3 linked regions of the Oreochromis niloticus genome follow. The protein of the gene in region 3 binds, or shares a complex with, the protein of the main gene of each other region. Links are inferred from orthologs where the notes say so. Each region holds a gene or a part of one and is shown on either strand. Other genes may lie near its edges.

Evidence for each region.
Region 1: flcn (region 3) and lamtor2 share a complex: the UniProt entries of both Homo sapiens proteins name them as parts of the lysosomal folliculin complex. The link is inferred for Oreochromis niloticus from reciprocal best matches to the Homo sapiens genes FLCN and LAMTOR2.
Region 2: flcn (region 3) and fnip1 share a complex: the UniProt entries of both Homo sapiens proteins name them as parts of the lysosomal folliculin complex. The link is inferred for Oreochromis niloticus from reciprocal best matches to the Homo sapiens genes FLCN and FNIP1.

Annotation. Positions count from the first base shown.
Region 1 is NC_031976.2:35,941,690-35,949,111, reverse strand, and holds the start of lamtor2 (ragulator complex protein LAMTOR2), read right to left. Parts: upstream 3,065-7,422; 5' UTR 2,913-3,064; coding exon 2,845-2,912; intron 1,641-2,844; coding exon 1,478-1,640; intron 1,332-1,477; coding exon 1,242-1,331; intron 1-1,241. UniProt on the Homo sapiens protein: As part of the Ragulator complex it is involved in amino acid sensing and activation of mTORC1, a signaling complex promoting cell growth in response to growth factors, energy levels, and amino acids.
Region 2 is NC_031975.2:21,990,832-21,998,309, forward strand, and holds the start of fnip1 (folliculin-interacting protein 1), read left to right. Parts: upstream 1-4,467; 5' UTR 4,468-4,585; coding exon 4,586-4,677; intron 4,678-7,478. Other genes in the region: uncharacterized protein LOC102081985, read left to right, coding at 1-83, 950-1,268, 1,340-1,474, 1,767-1,806, 1,893-1,948, 3,048-3,079, 3,205-3,561. UniProt on the Homo sapiens protein: Binding partner of the GTPase-activating protein FLCN: involved in the cellular response to amino acid availability by regulating the non-canonical mTORC1 signaling cascade controlling the MiT/TFE factors TFEB and TFE3.
Region 3 is NC_031976.2:22,273,397-22,281,142, reverse strand, and holds the start of flcn (folliculin), read left to right. Parts: upstream 1-4,682; 5' UTR 4,683-4,924; intron 4,925-5,093; coding exon 5,094-5,297; intron 5,298-5,413; coding exon 5,414-5,878; intron 5,879-5,961; coding exon 5,962-6,128; intron 6,129-6,213; coding exon 6,214-6,305; intron 6,306-7,746. Other genes in the region: leng9 (leukocyte receptor cluster member 9), read right to left, coding at 1,145-1,284, 1,631-1,724, 4,017-4,131. UniProt on the Homo sapiens protein: Multi-functional protein, involved in both the cellular response to amino acid availability and in the regulation of glycolysis.

The sequences.
Region 1 (7,422 bases), about 14 Mb from region 3:
TAGAACAGAAAGTCTTGCCTTGTTCAGACATCTGTTATCTGTTACCTTGACGTCCTGAATACAACACAAGACTAGTTAGCCTCCGGAGGCTGTGTCAGCAGATTAGCTGAAGGGTATGCTGACTGGGAAAAGTGGCAAAGAAAAACTGGATGCACATTCAAAAAGACGGACACAGAGTCTTAAAAAAACAAACAAAAACAAAGCTCAGTCATACTGAACTCCTCATAAGAAGGACTAGTTCACTGTTACTTCTGAGTCAGACGTTTGTTAAACTAAAAGCATGTTTTGCCAAATTACATCCAACTGCTGAACTTCCTTCATTAGCAGAAATCCTCTGCCTCCGTGAAAGAACTCTGAAGTAAAGTGGAGGTAAAATTAAAAACACAAAAAGCTAAAAAAAAAATAAATAAAAATCCTCATTGTTTCCTTGTATTTATGTGCAAACAAATAATGAGCCACACTTTACCCTCAGCTGTTTAAATATTAAATCCATTCTCAGCTGGTCTGGAGGCTCAAAATAAGAGTCTTTATTCTTTATTTGGTTTTTGCATGTGAGTGCTTTTATATGATTTAAAGCGACATAAAAGTACAGCGATCATTCATATTCAATCACAGGCACTGACAATAGCAGAAGGTTAATACTTTCAGTAGCTGCTTATTACCATTACAATGTTTACGCTGATTTAAGAAGATTTTTTTAAAACTTTACAGTAAACTGAATTTAAACCTGCCAGTCGGAGAAAATTAAAGTATTTAGTGACATTTCACAGGCTTTCGAAAAGCATGATAGGCAATAACTGTCAGTTACAGAATCAGTATATTAAACTGTTGATTCAATTGCGTCACAGACACCGGCCGGCTGCCAAATTCAAAATGTTAAGGTTTCTATTTTTCCTGTCCATTTAGATTTGACTAGAATACTTAGTGTGCATGTAAAGTCCACTTAAAATAGTTAAAAAACATGATGGGAAATCAGTTATTGTCTCAGATGCTTAATAATATAATTAACTACTTATGGATTTGATAAATATTGTAAATTAATTAAATTTCTTTTTTTTTTTTTAACTTAAAAAAACAACTCACAAATTGACAACAAAGAGAACTTTTACTTTATATGAGTAAATTTCCAGTATTTTCAAACCTGGCCCTAAATCATTAATAGAAACAGTAACGGTTGTTGATGATCCACATTCAGAATATGAAACATTATCTCATGAAAAGGCAGGAGTTTAAACTCTCACCTTGGCTTTAAGCATCCCGAAGCCCACCGTTTCTTTGGCGTACATGCACAGCAGCAGGTTGGCGACACGAGTAATGGCCACTCTTCCCTCCTGAGAACGACAATGTTAAAGGCAAGAAGACCACAGTATCTCAGTTTATTACTTAATGATGGCTCCACTTTTTCCCACATCACACAAATCTTTCACATATACCTGAAAAAAAAAGTAATAAAAGATGGGGGAACAGCATGTCTTACCATACAATCCATGAGAATGAATTTGAGTTTGTCTTCATTAAAGGCTTGATGGCCGTTCTTGTCATAAGCTGCCCAGATGTTGCTGGCGATAGCAGCTGTCACTCGAGCGTCGGTGTCCCCGTACCCAGAGTACGCCAGGAGTGAGCCTTCATTATTCAGTAAGCTGGTGAGAAACCACATAACCAGCAGATTAATATTAAATTAATATAATAACTTTCAGAGCACAGACAAAGTTATCAACTAAACATAATATATACTCTAACTAAGGTGTATACTACACGAAAATGTATTTTATTTGTATAGGATTTCTTACTACACCATTTTACTAGGCAAGTCTGTTTAAGTAGTTTAGGACTACTGTGAAAGTCAGGACAAAAACACCATATGTACAGTGGTCCCAGTGGTAACAGAGCACTCGGTGCGATTAGGCGAGTGGCTCCAGCAGATCCCAGAAACAACATCGGAGATCTCTGTCCAGAGGAGCACAGTCCTAGGAGCAGCAAAGATACTGTGCAGGACCCTAAAAGCTCCCAGGCCTCTGGTAGAGGTCCGGGAGCTTGAAGGATAAAGAAGCCCTGCAGTGGCAAAAGGTTTTTTTTAAATTATTATTATTCCCTTTAAAAGCATATATAAGTGGTGTCATATACTAACTCATGACAGAAAATAGTGATGACTACTTGCACAATTTTAATAGCACGAGTTGTTGATTCTAAAGGTGTGATTTTCTTTTTCTTTTTCAAAGAGGAATTTTGGTGACACCAACTCGCGTAAACACAACTGATCAACATATAGTCACAGTCTGTATTATCTTACACACAAAAAAATCGTTTTAGTACATATCTGATGCCCTTTTTCCTCTTTGGTGGAATATACCATTACATAAACACAGTTATTGTAGTTTGTAATTGTATATTATTTTGATATAAAATTAGGACAACATTGTTTACCTACTTATTTTTGGAAATTTGACAAACAACTGTTTATTTTATGCTTAAGGAAATTAAACCCCTGTGGGGGGAAATGCCTGACATGAACCTATATCAATTATTTGGGACATTATACTGAGACTGAGATAATGATCAGACACACTGACTATATAATAAAGTAACTTGAATTTTGTGTTGAACACTTCCAAACAGACTGTGCTGGTTGTGAAACATCAGCAGCTCCTCTATGCAAGATACACACTGTTTGATATAATAACATTTTATTCGTCCCGCAGGGGTTATATTCAGTTTTAGAGAATATTCAGAAGACTTAACATGTGTATTGCCTTTAAATTTATATGTAATCGTCAAAAAATGCACCGCTGAAACTCCAGCAGCAGTTAGCATGTGGCTAGCTTGCGGCTAGCTCGCCGTACTCACAGAGTGCTCTGGACTCCGTTTGTGTTCGCCTGGCTGAGAACCTGCGTCAGCGCCTTCGGCCGTAACATGGCTGTTCACCCTCCGATATAAGAGATCAAATATAATAACACTTATTCAGTTTACGGGACGCGACGAGGAGCTTTAAAGTGCCCAAACTGCTCAGAAACACACAACCAAGTCAGCTGATTCGGTTTTCATTTCCGGGTCCGATCGCAATGCATCACGGGAAATGTAGGTATTTCAAAACCTTATTTCACCCCTAAATTCTTTTATACAGTTTTTTTTTAAAATTGGTTTGGCACCATTTTCATAACTAAAGTGTGCATTTTTAAATCTCTCAGTACAAAACTCACATTTGTAACACCACTAGTTATTCTTTCAAATCTGATGTCATGATTTCATTGCATTTGCACATATTTACATTCCACGTAATCATTGTATCAGAACACATGATCACTGTGATATATTTTGAGAACATTTGCTTTAATCACCCAAACAAAACAGTAAGCTCTTTTTTCAACTTAGTACTTTTACCAATCACTTCATTCAGGAGCAAATAATACAAGGTAAGCGATTCAAATTGTCCTTGGTGATGAATGAGTGTAACTGAACTGTAAAACTGTACACAGCAAATATTATACTTATGTTCAGACATAAAAAAAAATAAAAAATATATATATATATATATATATATATATATATATACACACACACGCATATACATACACACAGACACACACACACGAAAAAGGGAGAAAAACAACAAGTCATTTACATAAGCATAATATATTTTTATGTTATTTTATTCTTATCACTTTTACACAATTAATCAAGCCGGTCATTAACATTGGGCCATAAATTTTCATCAACATCACAGTGGATGTCTTCGTTGTTCAGGCACCGTGGGAAAAATGTCCTGGCATGACGAATCCAGGCTTGACATTGCTCAGCAGTTATATCACCACAAGCTTCACACATGAAGAAGGGAGACATGCTCATGGGGATGGCGATCATACACCTTCCACCTCCATGTAGAGAAGAATTCCTTAATTGGGTTGAGGAAAGGGGAATATGGTGGAAGATAGAGGGTCATGAAGCGAGGATGTGTTTGAAGCCATTCCTGAACCAGCTGTGCATGGTGGAAGCTGACATTGTCCCACACAACAACATAGACGATGTCTTCTCCCTGACAGGCCTGCTCCAGTTCATTAAAAAAAAAACAAAAAACAAAAACAAAACAAAAAAAAAAAAAAACCCACACACTCTCAGGTGTTCAGTGTTGTATGACCCTAGAACTGGTCTACAGCCTACCACACCATCTTCAGATATAGCTGCACACATTGAGATGTTTCCCCCATGTTGTCCAGGGACTTGGATGGTAGCCCTTTGTCCAATAAGGTTACGTCCTCTGCATCTAGTTTTTGCCAGATTGAAACCGGCCTCATCAATGAAAATATACTTGTGCTGATTCACAGCAGCGTCCTGTTACAGTAATTGCATGCCAGTTTAGTGTTGTACCTGAATATATTCTGAACGCAGTTGTTTCACCCGGACATTGTTCCTCTCAAAAGGAACCAAGTAAATTTGTTTCATGGAAACCTGGTGCTTCTTCAAAAGCCGGGCAATCGTTGGAAGGCTAATTGATGGCACATTGGCAAAGGTGTCATTGCTGTTCTCAACAGCCTGTTTGATTTCAGACAGCCGTATGTCATTCCTTGCCCTGACCATTTCCACCACAGCCAACTCCTGCTGGTCAGTCAAAACACGTGGGCGACCACCACCAGGTTGTCTCCTGTTAATTCTGACAATCATATACTGTCAATATTGAAGTATTACAAATTACATTACTGTAAACTGACAATTACATGTTGTTCATCTATACAATAGGGTACTATTTTTTAGAAGTGAAGTTGCTATAGCAGACATACCGGTTTTCTTGGCGAAAAGTTTGGATGATAGAGCTGACAGTTGACCTTTGTAAATTAGGCTGTACCACCCTGGCAGCCTCAGCCATGGTAAAGCCTCTGTTAACCACATGGTCAACAATGATGGCCCGGACTTCATTAGAGATGATGGTGCGTTGTCTTCTGCCTACATTTCTCTGAAGACCACCTCTCTGTCGAGGAGCACCACCACCTCTTCGATGAAGGTTTCCTCTCCCTACGAGTCTATCCTGCTCCATATTTGAACAGTGCAAAGTCTCAAACACAGTTCTACTTATATGGTAACTAATTGTGATCATCAGGGGGGAAACAATTAGCAATTAGTATTTCTAGATTGAAAGCTCTTGCAGCCATGTGTAACTTACAAATGACCAGACAACAATCAGTCAAGTTGAAAATCCATGGACATAATGAATGATTCATTGATTAAACATTAAGATCAGTTGAATTGAATGACAGACAAATGTATTAAACTGAATGATAAGAGATGCAAATCAAAAATTTTGTAGTGATAACATTATGAAAGGCAGTAACTGTGAACGAAACATTTATTTAGATGAAACACTTATTTTGTGTAGTGAAAAGGATATTTTGTCATTATGTGTATTGTACTAACACAATTGGAAATATGCTGAAATGTTTGAAAAAGGTGCACTTTTGATGATCTGTTGTGATATAAGTACGAAGAGTTTTGAAAATGTACCAATTGCTTGTGAAAACTGCGCCAAACCAATTACAAAAAACTGTAAATACCACACACAGACCACAACGCATGCATCAGGGTCAGTGAAGGTTAAAAAAAGGCCTGGGAGAAAGGGAGTGAGTGGATGGACGTCGTGAGGGAGCAAAATCACTAAGAAAATTATTTTTTAATTTTTTTAATACAATTTTTTAAAACACATTTTAAACAAAATATCAGATATTCTGATAAATATAAATATCACAAAATATCAGATTTCAGATCAGATGCAAATTTGTGAAAAAACACATGGAAAATTGTGGGTTTTTTTATTTGATGAGCTTTGCAATCTGCCCAAGGGTATCCTGTCATTTGCCCCATGAACCGTCCCCCTGACACTAGACTGAATACCTCAATTCAATTTTCAAAGAAAACAAAATTAGAAGACCATCAGTAGTCCTATCCAGTAATATCCTTTATGCTGTCTTTGACCCTCATAAATGTGTATGTGTTTATGGCGTTTTAACCGTTTTCTCTGTTTTCCTTTTCAGTGTCCTGTTACACACTTGTAAAATATGCCCCATAACAGATTTTAAGCATTTTTTTTACCACGCTTGCTATCCCATGTTTACCAATATTACAATATTAAAGAGACCCTTAATTTGCCTATTTATTACTCACTTTGACATGTAGAGCCTTGATTCTAACAATTTCATGTCTAACACTGATAAGATTACAAAAATCTTGGTATATACATAACATTTTTCTTTTCCTGATTTAAATAATAATACACATTAGAGGTCCAGCTGGTACCTGCTCCTTGAATCTGTATGACTTGGCTTGCATCCAGCAATATACGAGTCTTGGGTTGGTCAGCATCAACAGTGCTCTCAGAATCAGTGTCTGCTAAAAGTTTGGATTTCTGCATATTCATGGAAAATTACAAACACTGGGATCACTCTGAATGTCTTTAGTAACACATTATTTCTCTTCTTGGAGGACAGGAACCGAGCTTCTACCGGTGAAGTATTCTTGGGTGTTCCTGTCACAGTAGTGACCTTCTACACCTGATCTGAAGAACAAAGAAAGCCTGCCCATGTTCTGCTACTACACATTTTACCTAATCAAGTTGTTCTTGGGTTCATTTTCCTATCAACAGAACAAAGAAAGGATGATTAAACTGAAAGAATAAACAGTCGAGTCCAGTCAGAACAACTTTCCTACAACATCAACTCTAAATCAAGGCCAACCTAACGAGTCTGCCACACTACAGCGACCTTTACCATAAGGTCTTAATTTTATTGGTACAAGTTCTCTCTGAAACCTGTAAGAGCTGACATTTATTGTATTTTTCTTCTCTGCCCAAATAGCTACGACATCATTTTCACCCTGATCTTCAACATTCTTGTTTTTTTTCCTGTTAGAATTTTGCTTTTGCTATGGACAATTTACTCTGTATATTCTCACTGAAGATACTGATTTTAGTCATTCAATCTTACTGAATAAACATGTCTTTAAAACAACATGCTTTGAACTGCCAGATATCTATTTAAAGATCATTTAAGCAGCCAAGACCATATAGAGGGACTCACTTACAGTGCAAAAGGTCAGTAAATAGTTCGATATTTTCAAAGCGTGGGTGATCATTATCAACAGATCTGCTCAGTAAGCTCGGTCAACAGCACTACACCCAGTCAGTGATAAGTTTAGTCATCAGCCACCTCCCTCTCTGAACAAAAGACTTGTATCGCTTTTCATTAAACTTTGCAAACACTACCTTCACTGGAGTTACTCAAATCCTCGATCTGCACTAAAATGCCCCGTAATCTTATCAGTTTTAACCCTGTTTTTATGAAGAGAACAATCTGTTCAGATGACTGCTTGGATTTTAGGGAACACCTTCTCAAACACCACAATCTGTACAAACATTTAAAGACCTATCAAGATCAGTCAGTC
Region 2 (7,478 bases), on a different chromosome or scaffold from region 3:
GCAAGCATTATGAAGCTTTTCCAGAAGAACCTGAGAGGGAAGTCACGAATGACTCCACTGTCAAACCAAAGAGCCCAGTATCTGTAAGTGTGCCCAGATATTTTGTATTCATGTAAGACTAACAGTCACTGATGTCCGTTAATATTTACTAGCTCACAATTATCAGAGTCAGAGACACTTTATTTATCCCCAAGGGGCAATTAAGATAAATGATACCTTGCCGACTGTACATATATGGGTGACAAGAAGAAAATATGAAGGAATCTACGTAGAGAAAAAAAACAAGTGAATGTTGATGCTGAAGCCACAACGAGTCCCCCAATAAACTGGCAAGAAGTTAAAGTGACATGTGCATTTTGTTCTATAGAACACATTAGCAAATCTGGTCACAGTGGTCATACATCAGATTATGTGAGAAAAGAATGAAGAGCAATTATTCAGAAAAATAAGGAAATTAATGTTTGGTTGATGATTTGTTTGTTGTAACAACGCTTCTTGGCGATAAGTCTTATACTCTGTATTTCCCCTTAATGGTGCATTGAGGAGTTGAGTATGTGGGTGAACAACCTGCCAAATTTCTCTGCCAGTGCCAGACAGCTTATTCTGTTATTGATTCTTGTTTGGTGTCTCTTATTGGATTGGATGATTGAAGTCTGAATAAAAAATGCATATTGACAATTTAACAGTGTATTCTTTTAACAGACAGGGGGCTCAGTAGCCTGTGGAAGAACCACAGACACCAGCTTGGTCGCACACTACTGTGTGCTTTCCAGCTGTATAAGATTTATTGCCAAGAAGAATTATTACAGCAAAAAAATCAGCAACCAAAGACAAACTTCACTGAATAGTTTAATAAGTATAAAACAGCATTAGAATCATGTGCTATAACCTTCAGTCACCAGATTAGTTTTATTTACTCCCCCTTTCTATGCTTATTCTTTTCACACAGGCCAACACTGTACACCCCAAATCTACTTTTAGCTTAAGCACACCTGCACTTACTGAAACTACCGGACACAAAGCAACCTTACCTGCCGTTCAGGTGACTGTAGTAGAGGCTCATGAAGGTGATGAAATGTCGGGTAAAGAAGACGAGCAAAGCTTGGCAGTGACTCCGGAAAGCTTCACATTATCTAGCATGGAGACTGACACAACTTTCAGCTCTGGTGACACAGAGGATGAGGACTTTTTGACCTCCGCAACTTCTAACAATCTTCCCTCTCCAGAGATCTTCAGAAGAGAAAACCAGGATGTGTCTGAGTGCATTTGTATGTGTACATTTTTGTATATCCACAGGCACACTTGGTGTCATTTCTCACTTTTTTTTTTGTCTTGATAGTGGAAACCTTCAATTTCTCCATTGGGGAAGACCTGCTGGGTCTCCATCATCACATAAAAAACTCCACTTTGTTGGATGTCAGCCACGCTGAGAGCATACACATGCATCATCCCCCTAACCTTTCTACCATCCTGGGTAATACTGGGAGAAAATCTTAGTCACACTTTAATTTTCTCTCTTTTTTTCAATTCAATAAATTCCACTTAATTGAACAAATGTGTTAAACATATAACTTTAGTCATACTCAGTCATGTTTGGTACGTCTTTTTTTGCAAGCTCCTTAGACTCCATCTGATATTTACATTTAAAATGTTTCTCTTTTAGAAGGAGCAATCAAATTAACATATGATTCAATTAAATACAGTGTTATTTATATGCGTACCCAAACCATAGCCGTGTGTCTGAAAAGGAGTAACTCTGTCTGCAGATGCCTCCACTATTCTTGCTGAAAAGACCTGTGAGATCAGGTAAGTCTTCTCAGTTGAATCTCAGTGTTTAGTACTTGTGGCTCACGCAATTTAACTGCTTCATTCCTTGTTATTTCTTTATCAAGCAACAACAGAGAAGCCGGATCTGATGCTAAAATACAAAATGACTTGTTGAAATCAGGTAAAGGCTCTCATTTCATGAGAAACACATCTTCCTCAAGTAGTATTTGGAGCATGACTATTATTACAAACTACACTTGCCGACCACTTTATTAGGAATGCTTGTTCAACTCCTTATTAAAGCAAATGTATAATCAACCGATCACATAGCATCAGCTATGTGCATTTAGGCATGTAGACATGATCATGATGACCTGCCGAAGTTTAAACCAAGCATCAGAATGGAGAAGAAAGGTGACTTTGAACGTAGCTTGGTTGTTGGTGCCAGACAGGCTGGTGTGAGTATTTTATAAATTGCTGATCTACTGGGATTTTCCCACACATCCATCTTGAGGGTTCACAGGAAATTGTCTAAAACAAATAGGAAATATCCAGTGAGCAGCAGTTCTCTTGGAGAAAATGCTTTGATGCCAGAGGTCAGAGAAAAATGGCCAGACTGCTTTCAACTGATGGGAAGGCAACAGTAACTCAAATAATCAGAGCATTGCAAGCAAGAGGATCTCTAAATGCAGGGCTCACCAACACTGAGTAAGAGAAGATTGGAACAATGTTGCCTGGTCTGATGAGCCTCGAGTTCTTTTGCAGTATTCACAGGCTAGAGTCAGATTTTGGTGTTAACAAAATAAAAGCATGGATCAACCATGCCTTTTTAGCAGCAGTTCAGGCTGCTGGTGGTGGGGGTGGTGTAATGGCATGGAGAATATTTTCCTGGCATATGTGGGCCCCTTAGTACCAACTGAGCATCATTTAAATACCACAATTAAATACCAGATTTCAGTCTAATAGAGCAGCTCTGGAATGTGGTGAAACAGGTGCTTCACATTATTAATATGTAGCCAACAAATCTGCAGCAACTCTGTGATGCTATCATGTCAATATGGGGCAAATTCTTTGAAGAATGTTTCCAGCCCCTTGTTGAAGCCAAGGAATTCGGGCAGTTCTGGAACCAAAAAGGGGCCCACCACTGTACTAGCAAGGTGTACCTAATGAAGTGGCTGGCAAGTGCATATATTTCATGTGTATTTTTAATATCTACTCCACAAAAAAATTATTGTATAATTATTACGACTACTTTTGTGGTTTCTGTCTTAAATTTGCAGACAAAGCCTTGAAGAGGAAAACCCCACCAAGAGTAAGAAGTCATCTGCCCATTTATTTACATCTGTTTAAATTTGATATGATGTAGATCATTTTATTTTGTTAGAAACAAAAGTAAGGGGGATCACGGCCATGATTGAAATGATTTTTACTCCACAGCTCAGCTACAGAAGACCTATCTTGTGTAAGAAGAAGGTTTCATTCAAAAGCCCTGTAATTGCTGAGACCTTTGATGGAAAATGCATCCCAGCCTCAAAGTTAATGACTCACAGTCTCAACAAGCCATTGCAAATGTCCAGCCCACCTGAGGATTTGAAGCCTGATGCAGAGATCGGCTCGGAAGAGGAAACCTTACCTCTGACCATGTTGCTAAAAAGGTCTGTGAAAACTAGCCACAGGGAACCCAAGCTCTTTGACTTTGCCACTGACAAGGAGAGAGATACTCTCTTTCAGGTCATGAGAGAAAGATGTGTGAAACTCAGAAGTGTTACTTTATTTCCCTTCACAGCTGTTTAGTGCACCGAACCATCTTTCCTGCCACATTTAAAGCTAGAATATCGCATGCATAAAACTCCGGCTTTACCCCCTCATCTGGATTAGATTAGTCTAATTGTAAAAAGTCCTATATAAAAATGGTCTGTTAGTATTTAAAAGAAGGAGAGAAGAATCGATGGAACAAACTTTAAATAACATTTAAGTACTAATTAAAGAGACATGCTAGACTGGCGTTTAGGTTAATATGAAAAAAGTGTGATGTGAAATGACCACTAGATGGCACATATGCATTTACCTTGAAAAAACATTGTCTGTCTTGTCCATACAGTGAGCTTTTCCACCTTTAAATATGATATATATGTATATGTGTGTGTGTATATATATGTTTTTTGCTTGTTGTGCTTGTCTATATTTGTATTTATTCTCGTAACATGTGTTACTATAGACTTTCTAAATGAAGAATGATTTAAAAGCAAAGTTTAAATGTATAAGATATGTATTTTAGGTATACTCTTTCCATATTTATGTATATTTGTCTTTGTCCTCAAAATCTGCATATGTATTTGATTCAGAAAGTGTCTAAAGCAAATAAAAATACAATAAAATGCCTGTTGGGGCGATCACTCGTTCTGTGTTTGACGCGTTTCTTACAGTTAATTATTTTCTTAACTGTGTCTTTCGATAATATCTGAAGTGTGTGTGGGTGTGTGTGTGTCAAGCCGTTCAGCAGTCGCACTTAGATACTTTTTTTTTTTAGTGTGAATAAATTTCATGCAGTCACGATTGCCGACAAAACATCAACACAGCAAATCCACTCACCACGTGGTACTTATACCAAAAATATCAGCCAATCGGGTAATTTGTTGTAGCAGCATTGGCGTCCCGTGAGCCAATCAGAATAATGTAGTGGGTTACCAAGCTGCTCCTGTGACTAATGCGTGTCATATGACTGTGACACCCATGGAGACAGTTACAAGGAACAAGATTTGGTCGTGGATTTGAAAAAGGAAAGAGACTTTCTGTACCGAATTCATTTTGGTACAAGATGCCTCCGACTCTCTTTCAGAAACTTTTTAACAAGAGAAATGCGTTTTCGTCGCCGCCCCCGAGGTGTAGCAAAGAGGACCCAGCTTTCAGGTAGCTTATTGTGTGCGTGAGTGTGTGTCCGCCTGTGGTTTGTGTGTAGGGCTGTGCGTGTGTACGTTAATAATATCTATGGCTTTCGCTTTGACGTCTGAAAGGAATGACAGTGTTTTTGGAGCAACGCTTATTTTCAACTCGAGGCACTCAGCAGATGAGCGTTGTGTAGTTTGGCTGATTTGACATCAGTGTTGGAAAGTGTAGAGCGACGTGAGAGACGTGTTGTGCCTTGTTGGTGCGATTAGCTACATGCTAATGCTAGCTGTTGGACGCTAGCGAGGCTGCTGCACGCGCTGTCTTGGTGGGACTTGATTCAGCTCGTTAGCCATCACTTTTTTGCTCATATAAATAATTGTTTATGTCAGCTTATAAGTGAAAAAACGCTTTATTGTCATCCCGAAGATAGTCAAATGGTGCTTGCAAGTTACAGTAGAAGTATCTTGCTTTCTCTTTGTCTCCCCCTTGCTCCCCCCTCCTCTTTCCCCTTTGTGTTTCTGTGGTAACAGCATTGTGGCAAGAAAACGCACGTGACAGTATTGTCGCGGTCTTTTGTAGCTTATCTTTAGCTGCATCCTGATAACTTGGAGCTAAATAGAAGTAGCATCCCTCGGCTTCGCCTCTGTTACTGTACTCTCCACCAGACAACAGAGCAGGACACCGTGTGCTCTTAATGGAAGCACATGTGATCGCTTCAGTCGGCCGCTGATGTATGCCATACCGTGCTGCTGTGTCGGTAGACTGTTGATGCACAGTGTTAATTTTACTGAAATAGCGCTACTTGGCGTCTGAATATCACCTAACATTGCAGTGATGTTAAATAGACAAGTAGCTGAAGTTTACTTAGAAAACCGATGCTTAGAACAAATGCAAGATGGCTTGTAGTGATTATAGTATTTCCTGCACGCGTTGCTTGTGTTCCACATCCACTAAAGCAGATAATCGTGTCATTTCTCATGTAGATATAGAAAACATTTATCATTTCCAAACACCAGTGCTCTTTGATATTTACCCTTTAACGATCTGGTCATGTATTTTAAAAATTAAAGGCAAATTAACGCAGTATTGCTGCGACATGTTGCCCAATGCTGTCAGGCTTGCAACTGGGCATCCTTAGCATATATAATGTTTCCACTCATAATCTTAAAACAAAGTCTTATTTATTTATGGAGTACAAAACCGATGTAAGCTGCATAAGAACTCTAAGGTAACATTCAGCTTGACATGGCAGTGAATCATTGAGCTGAATGGGAGTTGATTTGCAGTCTCCCTGTGTATTTTCTCTCACACACTCAGGGTCAGGTCTGCCACCATTGGAAAAACGTGCTCTAAAGCTTTAAATACACTGGCATTGCAAAATGTTTCTCCCACCTTGTCACTCATGGGGAAGATATTTACCTGAACACGCACCTCCTTGTGGTGCTGCTTGCACTTTGGTCCATGCCTGAGCCAGAGCACGTTCCACTGCCATAAAGGTGCCCTGCACCCAGTGATATAAATGCAATCTGTGTGTGTGTGTGCGTGGAGGGGCGGGGGGCTTTCTGGCATCAATCCCAGAGCAAACAGGCAGGCAGCAGGCTTTTCTGTTAGCTCAGTGGTCAGCTGTGCTCTTCATACCTCTGGCATAAGCTTCCCATTCATCAAGCATGAAATGCTCTAGAGAGGACAGAACTGTGTGGAGACATGGTTGGAGAGGGACACTTGTGTGGTAGCAAGAATAGGCTAAGATGCAGCAGTAGGAGTTTCTGCATAAAAGAAAAATGGCGAAAAGGAAGAAGAAAACATTCAATAGAGGGTCTAAGGGAGGGGAATCTAATGGCACAGGGTGGAACAAATAAGTTGGAGGATGAAGTGGTTAGGAACTGAGCATGCAACATTAAAAGATGGACAGAACAGAGAATATAACGTGACTGCAGTCTACTGACAGAGGTGGCCTGCAGAAATGCTGACGTTAATAGTATTCTGAAGTATTTTTTTTAAAAAGCACTGTGTGAGAACTATACCACGAATAAAGCTGGCTGGGTAGCATGCTGCAGTCAATTTCAATCAAGACATTAAAAGAAAATGACCTTAAAAACCTCTGACAGGTTGGGGGGGATAAGCAACCACAATGTGACACCAGAAATAGCTTTTTTTTTAGTTTGTACATCAGGCTTATTATTAGCATTTTTCAGTGTATTTTTTTTAAAATCCAGAAGAGATGAAGTCTTTCCTGTTTTGCAAACCTCTGGCCTGCCTAATGCATCACCCACACCATGCTCTGCCACACCACTCCACTGTGCCCTCCAGAATACCATAGAGGGCAGCAGGTTGGCTGACCCTGAGAGGAAAGCCTAAAAAGACTCCTGTTTCCCAGGCTGTGGCACCTGACTGGGGATGGCATACTGTACATTACACCAAAAGCCTTTGGCTCATCCTGTAGCCAGTCTGAGACCTGATCATTAGCCAGTAGCTTTGTCCTCCCACTCACACCCAAACTGCTTGTCCTGGCAGCCTGCTGAGGAAACATCCTACATGACCTGCACCAACAGACAATATACGAATAAGAGAGTAAAAGCAGATTTACTCAAGTTTGAAGTTTTCTGTTTACTATATAGATTTGTGGAATTAAAAACTTTTTCTATGGTAAACCAGGACTCACCTGTTTCCTTTTCAAGTTGATATAAAATGGTCATAAGTCTAGAAAATATAATAAAACTTAACTTATAAAACTTATAATAAAATTTAAAATAAATTAAATTAGTACTGTGTAATGTAGATTTAGTAAATCATGTTTGACAAGCTTATTCATTACAGCCTGT
Region 3 (7,746 bases):
CGGGCTCAACTTTTTTTTTTACGAATAGTGGCACAAAAATAACGCCACAGTAACCCAGAAAGAGTAATATTTCAAACTCCGCCACTCTGTGCTTCTCTGCCACTGCCTCGTTTGAGTTTTGGACGAAATGGATTCTGAGATATTGCATTTCGTCATTTCGAGCTGATTGGAGACCAGAACAGCCAATCAGATATTTTTGCATCCAAGTCTGTGATTGGCTGGTTTTGTGGCACAAAAATAACGCCATAGGTCACAAAATAAACTTTTAAGATATTTTCATGCGAGAATGGTGCTGTGTAAACTTCAAATATCTGCTTGATTCATCAAGACATCACATATTTCCATAAGTGCTCTAACATTTTCGGAGATGCCTGTTACCTATGGCCTTATTTTTGTCCCACTATTCTGAGCGCACCTAAAAAAAATTTGAGCGCACGTAAAAAAAAAAGTTGAGCCCGTCCCATCTCGATCAAGTGACGAGGACAACGATGTGACCGTTTCAGGAGATGATAAAATATTTCTTAAAACCCCGATAGCTTGCTGAAGAACTCGAGTTTCTTCTCCCCCCTCCATACTGTCAGACACTTGAAAGTGACCCGCGCGTGCTTCTCAGCCAATCACAGCGGTACAGACACCCAGCCTTCCGTTTCCATTAAACTCCTTCCGTTTCCACTATACTCTTTCATTCACATACATTATTCTCTTGCATACATATATTTTCTTCTGACATGTATGCATTCTCTTCTTACATACATATATTATTTGTGAGATTAAATGCATATTGAATGCATGTAAATGAGAGCAAAATGTAGGAATGCATAAATGAAAATGTATGTATGTGAGAGTGAAAATATATATGTGTGTGAAAGAAGAATGTATGTGTGTGAGAGTGAAAATATATGTATGTGAGAGTGAAAATATATGTGTGTGAGAGTGAAAATATATGTATGTGAGAGTGAAAATATATGTGTGTGAGAGTGAAAATATATGTATGTGAGAGTGAAAATATATGTGTGTGAAAGAAGAATGTATGTGTGTGAGAGTGAAAGAATGAATTTTGGCTTGTACGGCCCCTCATACATTTGCCTAATAATTCTGCACTCCCTGTATGTTCTCACAGAAAGCTAAATAAATGCGGAGTGACCTCTTCTCTCGTCATGTTTTGGCTTTGGCACTTTATTCACACTGCCCTTCTTGTTCTTGTGTTTTTCTTGTGTCTTTTCTCCTTCCTGTTTTTCATCCACTTCAGGACACAAAGCCCCTGAATCATCCTGTAATGGGTCACTAAGAAATGAGAGCAGCAGTGGAAAAAATGCAGAGACAAGGAGATTGAGACAGAAATTTCATCAGTGAGGGTATTCATCATATCTAGCCAACTGTCCCGCAGATAAAAAATGCAGACAAAAGGTCATTCCAAAGATATTTACATCCATGTCTCTCTGTCTCCAAACCAAGCTTCTAACACCTGTGATCTGAAGATAAACAGCAGCTAATCTACAATAATTTCCAAAGTCTTTTGTGTTAATTTTGAAAATAAAACCACAAGATGCCAAAAAATTATCTGGAAAAAAACTATAAATCTTCATGTATGCTTCTGATGATTTTTCTGAATAAAGTAAGGAGAGCAAACCTGTGAGCTAAACGGCATCTGAGGCCAAAATGACATTTTCCTATCCGGAAAAACTGGCACACTTTGGCTCCATCCTTGCAACATTCTGCTGACTCTGAAAGACAGGACGCCAGAGGGAGAGACAGAACAAAAGGTTAAAAATAAAAAGAGCCAACATTTAATAAAACTGAACAGAAATCATGCAGTATTTCACCCTTTCTTCTGCATTCAAACTATGTCAGAAAAAAAAATGTAATGGCAGAAGAGATCAACAGGTTTTGTTTAAAGCAGTCCCAAGGCATGTTACAGCATCTTATATGGTCACTCGTAATTTTGGGTACCTGTCTGTGCTACAATAAGCCAGTATTCAAAATAATGTTTTTCGCCATTGGACCACTAGAACCGTAGAGCTGACTTTTACCCCGGCGTCTTGTTCGTTTTCACAGACCAAAAAAGTCAATGTGAGAAACTCGTAATCCTCTGCTAAGATTGCTGCATAATTTATTAGCATAACTGAAATTAGATTTATATTATGAATCTATATTTTTTTTAATTGTAACTGTAAAAATGATGTGCCCCTCTTTAGATCCCCTCTTGCTAAAAAGAGACAGTGTGGCTGTTGTCAGTCTGCAAGTTCACAAGAAATCTGCCAAATTTAGACAGACAACTTTCATTTTAGCTTCTTCCTGATTCAGTTGTGCTTTCTCTTTGCAAAACAAGCCAGGGTTTTACTTCACATTTAACCAATCCACAGAGGTGATGGTGTTTTAATGTTAAAACAAGTGAGTTTCATAAGAAACAACATCACTACCCAAACGTACTTGCTTGCTGACCCTGTGTAACTGGGCCATGGGCTACGCTGAATCCTACAAAAAGTCCAATTTCCAAAAACTGCGAGTTAAAAGATTGTATTTCTTCACATTGATCCCAGCTGTAAAACAGAGGAAATTTACACCCTGTTAGTTTATAGTAGTTTTCATTATCAGTGAAACTATCTTCATCTATCAGATTGTAGTGGCTGTTAAAGTGTTCAGCAAACCAATATGAATGATAAATTAACAATATCAGATAACACATGTGATACTTATACCATACTTTTAGAAGATGTAGTATGTTTCTACTTAAACCAAAATCCATGAAAAATTTCCAAAATTATGTGGTGTAATTCCAACCATAGAAAACTAATGAACAACTATGGCCTCTGGTACAAGTACAAGTTTTAAGTTCATTCTTAAAGTAAAGTGGAAGAAAAAAAATATGAGATCCTGATGAAGTACCTCGGGGCTTTTACTGTATATACATAATACTGAGTGAGTTCTCTTGGATTTTGTTTTTTCTACCTCTACCACCAATGAGCACCTGTCAGATCAGCCATGAGAGCCGTGCAGTACTTTTCTTTCTGTTTTTTGTTCACGTATATTTTAACCGTTTGCTTCTGCGTGTGTTTACATTTGGCTGAGCTTCTGCATCAGTCTATGTCACTCACACAGACATCTGGAAAAAGGATTCCTTATCGTCTGTTCATTTACTAGAAACCCCTCTTATCATTCCCGTTACCATGCTGTGTCATAAATAAATGAGTGAGAAAGAGGCATGGGGAAAATGACGTGTATAGTCCATCTCCAGTCCACTTCCATTGAGTATTATCATATGACAAGTGGCAATGACTCAACTCAGAGGACTCAAATGTCAGCCAAGTATGATGTACATGATGAGGTTGCCTTTACACCCAAATAACACACATCCTGCAATACTATTTAGAGACAGGATGAATGAACGTGACTCATGACACAAATACTTTAATTATTAGCTGTGATTTATTTCTTAGAAAGGGAGATGGTTGTCTGGATCAGCCACAAATTTTGGTAGTTTTTTAACTCTCTCTCAAATTGAATGCCTATAAGTAAATGTCTAAGGATGAAAATTAAACATTACAACTTTGAAATTCTTTAGTATACATAAAGTTAATCCACAGATTAGTCTGCTGAGTTCCGAGTGGGAGCAGAAGCGGGCAGATCAGAGTCAGTCATTTCCTCAAATCCTGAAACATTTCCAGCAAAGCAGAGTGCCCCAGCAGGACGTGAAAAATGTAGGAAACAGTTCATTACAGTACTGGACTCCATCCTTCAGCCCCCCTTCTGATGATAAGAGGCTCCGGCCACGCGATTACAAAACTAAGACCTGGCCAGAACTCCTATTGCCCAGAGTAACACAGACTCACACCACAGACTCAACAATATGATTTATAAGTGGATTACTAGGAAAATAATAAGCTGGTGTAATCATATGAGTCAACCAGCAGGGTTTTACTGTGCATGTCTAATAACAAGATGTGCCTCAAATCACCTTAGAAGCTTTCACAGACTGACTTTAGATTACATATTGTAAGTGTGTGAAACTGATTTACCTCCTTTGGCTTTTGGGGTGTCTTTGCCGCTCTGAGAGTCAGCGGGGACCCCTGCCTGTGGACTCGGTGTGTCAGTCGGGTCGGTGGGGGGAACTCCTGATCCACCTGAAGCCATCCTAAGATCTGAGATTTAGAAGTCAAAAAGATCTGCCGTGTCACTGTGTGTAAGTTATCTCTTTGTTGACCACTTAAGAGTGACACACCTATAAAAAACGTTCATGTTTTAATGCGGAAGTGACGGATTAACGTTGTACAGTGTTAAAAGAGAAGCTAATAAACCAGCTAGTCTGCTAAGATAGTATATTTAAACCATATATACGCTTAGAAATCAACCGGAACATACCTTTTAGTACACAAACCTTCAATGAAAACAGTTCCGACTTTTTTTTTATTCCCCTTTAACCCCTTGTTTGTTATACCAGATTGGGTTATGGGTAATGTAGTTCCACTTTTTCGTTTGCCGAGGAATGCGTCGTTTGTCGTACATAAAGCCTGATATTGGCACACAAAAAAGTTGAAAAACTATTAAATATGTTCGCGTGCTTTCACGTCGCTGGTAAAGTATTAAAGATGTTTTTGATTCGACGGTTAAAACGGAGAAAAATGAGCAGCAGTTGGCAGCCACGCGTCATTTGTGCCCGAGCGCGTGACTCTGCATCATGTGACGAGGTCTGTTTTTGTTGCCTGCTGGCAGCTACACAGAGGACAACAAAAAAGTGTAGAAAGCCTCAGTTAAGATGTTAGGAACGATGGTTTTTTAAAATACGGGCTCGATGAAGATTTGATTTTGTTTCACGGCGCTGTTATTTTTTTTTTTTTAACGGCACGGCTTTTTGAACACTACGTCCAATGAATTCCTCTTTGTGAAGTGTCACCAGTCATTTGTTGAACTTGGTTCTGCACCGAAGGTAAGACAGTCTCATACTGCCAGCTGTACCCGTATTTTAACCCCAGTGTAATCTGGTAACGTCAGTGATTAACCAGAACTAGATGTGGGTGTCATGACTGTGGGTGTTCAGATCTAAATCAGACATCTTTAGAACAGTAAACATATGAAAACTTGTTTTGTTCTTTCAGATGAATGCTCTGGTGGCTCTCTGTCACTTCTGTGAGCTCCATGGCCCTCGGACCCTGTTCTGCACTGAGGCACTACACCCGCCTTCCCCATCCCCTTCATCCCAGGCAGGTGCCCAAGTGCCAGGGGACCGAGATGGTGACCGTGATGGTGAAGGTCTAACCATGAAGGCCAACAGCTCAGCCACACAGAAAGAAATGTGTGAGGTGAGTAGAAGGGGCCTGACTGCGACCTTATCAGATACTTGGATCCCTCGCTTTATTTGTTTCTTCATTAATTTTCAGCCTTAAAGTACTAATTTCCTTTTTTCTTTGTCTCATAGGGTTGCCGATCCTTGCCTGCATCTCACCCGGGCTTTGTTAGCATTGATGATGAAACAGGCATCCGCTTCCTCAGCCACCAGCACCCCAGACAGCCCCAGCTTTTCAGCGTGGTCCGACAGGCTTGTGTACGCAGTCTCAGCTGTGAGGTAATTAGTGACATGTTTACGTGGGTGTTGTCTGTGGGCTTTAATCGGCTGATTACTGATATACTTCTTTATGTTTTCTGTTTGTTTTGGTGTCAGGTCTGTCCCGGACGTGAAGGGCCCATTTTTTTTGGAGATGAGCAACATGGATTTGTGTTCTCACACACCTTCTTTATCAAAGACAGTCTCGCTAGAGGCTTCCAGCGTTGGTACAGTATTGTTATGGTAGCCATGGACAGAATCTACCTTATAAACTCCTGGCCTTTCCTGCTGCGTCACCTCAAGCTTACTATACAGAGTCTGCAGAGCACAGCTCTAAAGGTAGAGCACGTATATAAACATAATAAACTCAGCAGACTTATTTATTAGTGCTTCTGATGTCTTTGGACCATCCTTTCCATTAGGTGTTTGACAATGAACAGGGAGTTTGTCCGCAGCGAGCTGTGAGGATGAACAGTGCATTTTCACCTGCAGTTTTTCCACACCAAAGGAGCGGCAATGCAGCCCGTTCGCTGACTTCTCTCACCCAGCATCCTAACCTGTGGGCCAGCCTGCACTCCTCCTTTAGCTGGTGAGTCATTAGGTTCAAAGAAACTGTTCTTCTTTTTCCAGTCAGTCTCTCACCCGGCTAATGAGTGGTCTCACCTCACTTCCAGGTTACTTAAAGCTTGTGGTAGCCGTCTGACGGAGAAGCTCCTGGAAGGAGCCCCCACCGAGGACACTCTGGTGCTCATAGAGAGACAAACAGGTAGATGTATTGACCTCGATTAAGAGGCGTGATATTTATGTATATACAGTTGTGGTCAGAAGTTTGCTCATCATGAACATGACTCTCATAGTAATTTTGGGCTTTAAATGATTTGGTTGAACTGTTATTTTTCCAGGGTGGAATGACTGTAAAGCATACATCTTTAATGACTTTAAAAAACAAGAACTGAATGTGCAAAATTGAATTTATTTGGGATTTTCTCTAATCCACACAGTGTCAAAAATAAACATACAAACTAAAATATATATATATACGCTCCCTCTAATATTTGGTTTAATGTTCCTTAGGAAGTTGCACCTTAATTGTTCAGTAAGTATCTGGCCTATTTTGAGGGCTGGGTAGTTCACCCATCTTCTTGGCAGAGTTCATTTAGATTTGTTGGTTCATTGAACCAGCTCAGCTTATAAGCATAGTCCACATATTTTCTGAGTGAGGTCAGGGCTTAGGGAAGGTCATTTCAGATGCTTAATGTTTTTTTTCCAGCCTGCTTTATCCCTTCCAAAACCAGGTTTGATGTGTTTAGGATCATTATCCTGTGGGAATACCAACTGCGTGGTCATTATCCCATCCACTTTGTACAACATATTATTTGACTGTCAGTCAAAAGGTCTTCGAGCACAATGCTTGACAATTCAAGGCAGACTTGAGCCTTGATGCTTCCTGGCTCAAGTCTTCCAGCATCAACTGACGGTGACAGTTTGGGCCTTCTTACAGAACCTGGTAAAGTGGTGACATATCTGAATAATTTGTTCTTGCATACAACGGTTTTAACTGATAACCTTGGAATCTGTGTATTTTCTGATCTGTTTGTTAGAATGGATCCAAGAGACCGTCCCAGCTAGTGTAAATCTGCAGTTCTTCTTCTTAGATATTCCCTGAGTTCCTTTGACTTTCTCATTGTTCTAAGTATTGGTTAATCCACCGAGTGCTGTCAAACAAATCTGTTTATGCTGGCAACGAGAGAAAGTTAATAGGCCTTGGCAAGTAAAGACTTTGGCTATAAAATGATTAGGTTCTACAAACTGGTACACCCAATTCTTATTTTTTAAAGTCATTAAAGATGTTGGCTGTGCAATTATTCTACACTGGAACATGAACCGTGTTCCAGGGTAGAAAGATAATCTAACCAGCAAATTCTTGTGGTTTTCTGAGTGAATTACAAGTCCCACTGGTGGGGCTTGGAGGTCCCACAGGTGGGGCTCAGACAACCAGATGAAAAATATGAAATTGCTGAAGTTTTTAAAACAAAATTCAACGTGCATCTTTTTTTTCTTGTTGATGACTGGTTTAAAAAAAATGTGCAGTGTCACCTTGACTCAGCTTCTGAAGTGTGTGTGAAAAAGTTTAAAAACCACTTCTTTTAGATGTGGTTAGGTTCATTTTCTTCTTAAATTAACCTAAACTCATGACAGCATGTCAT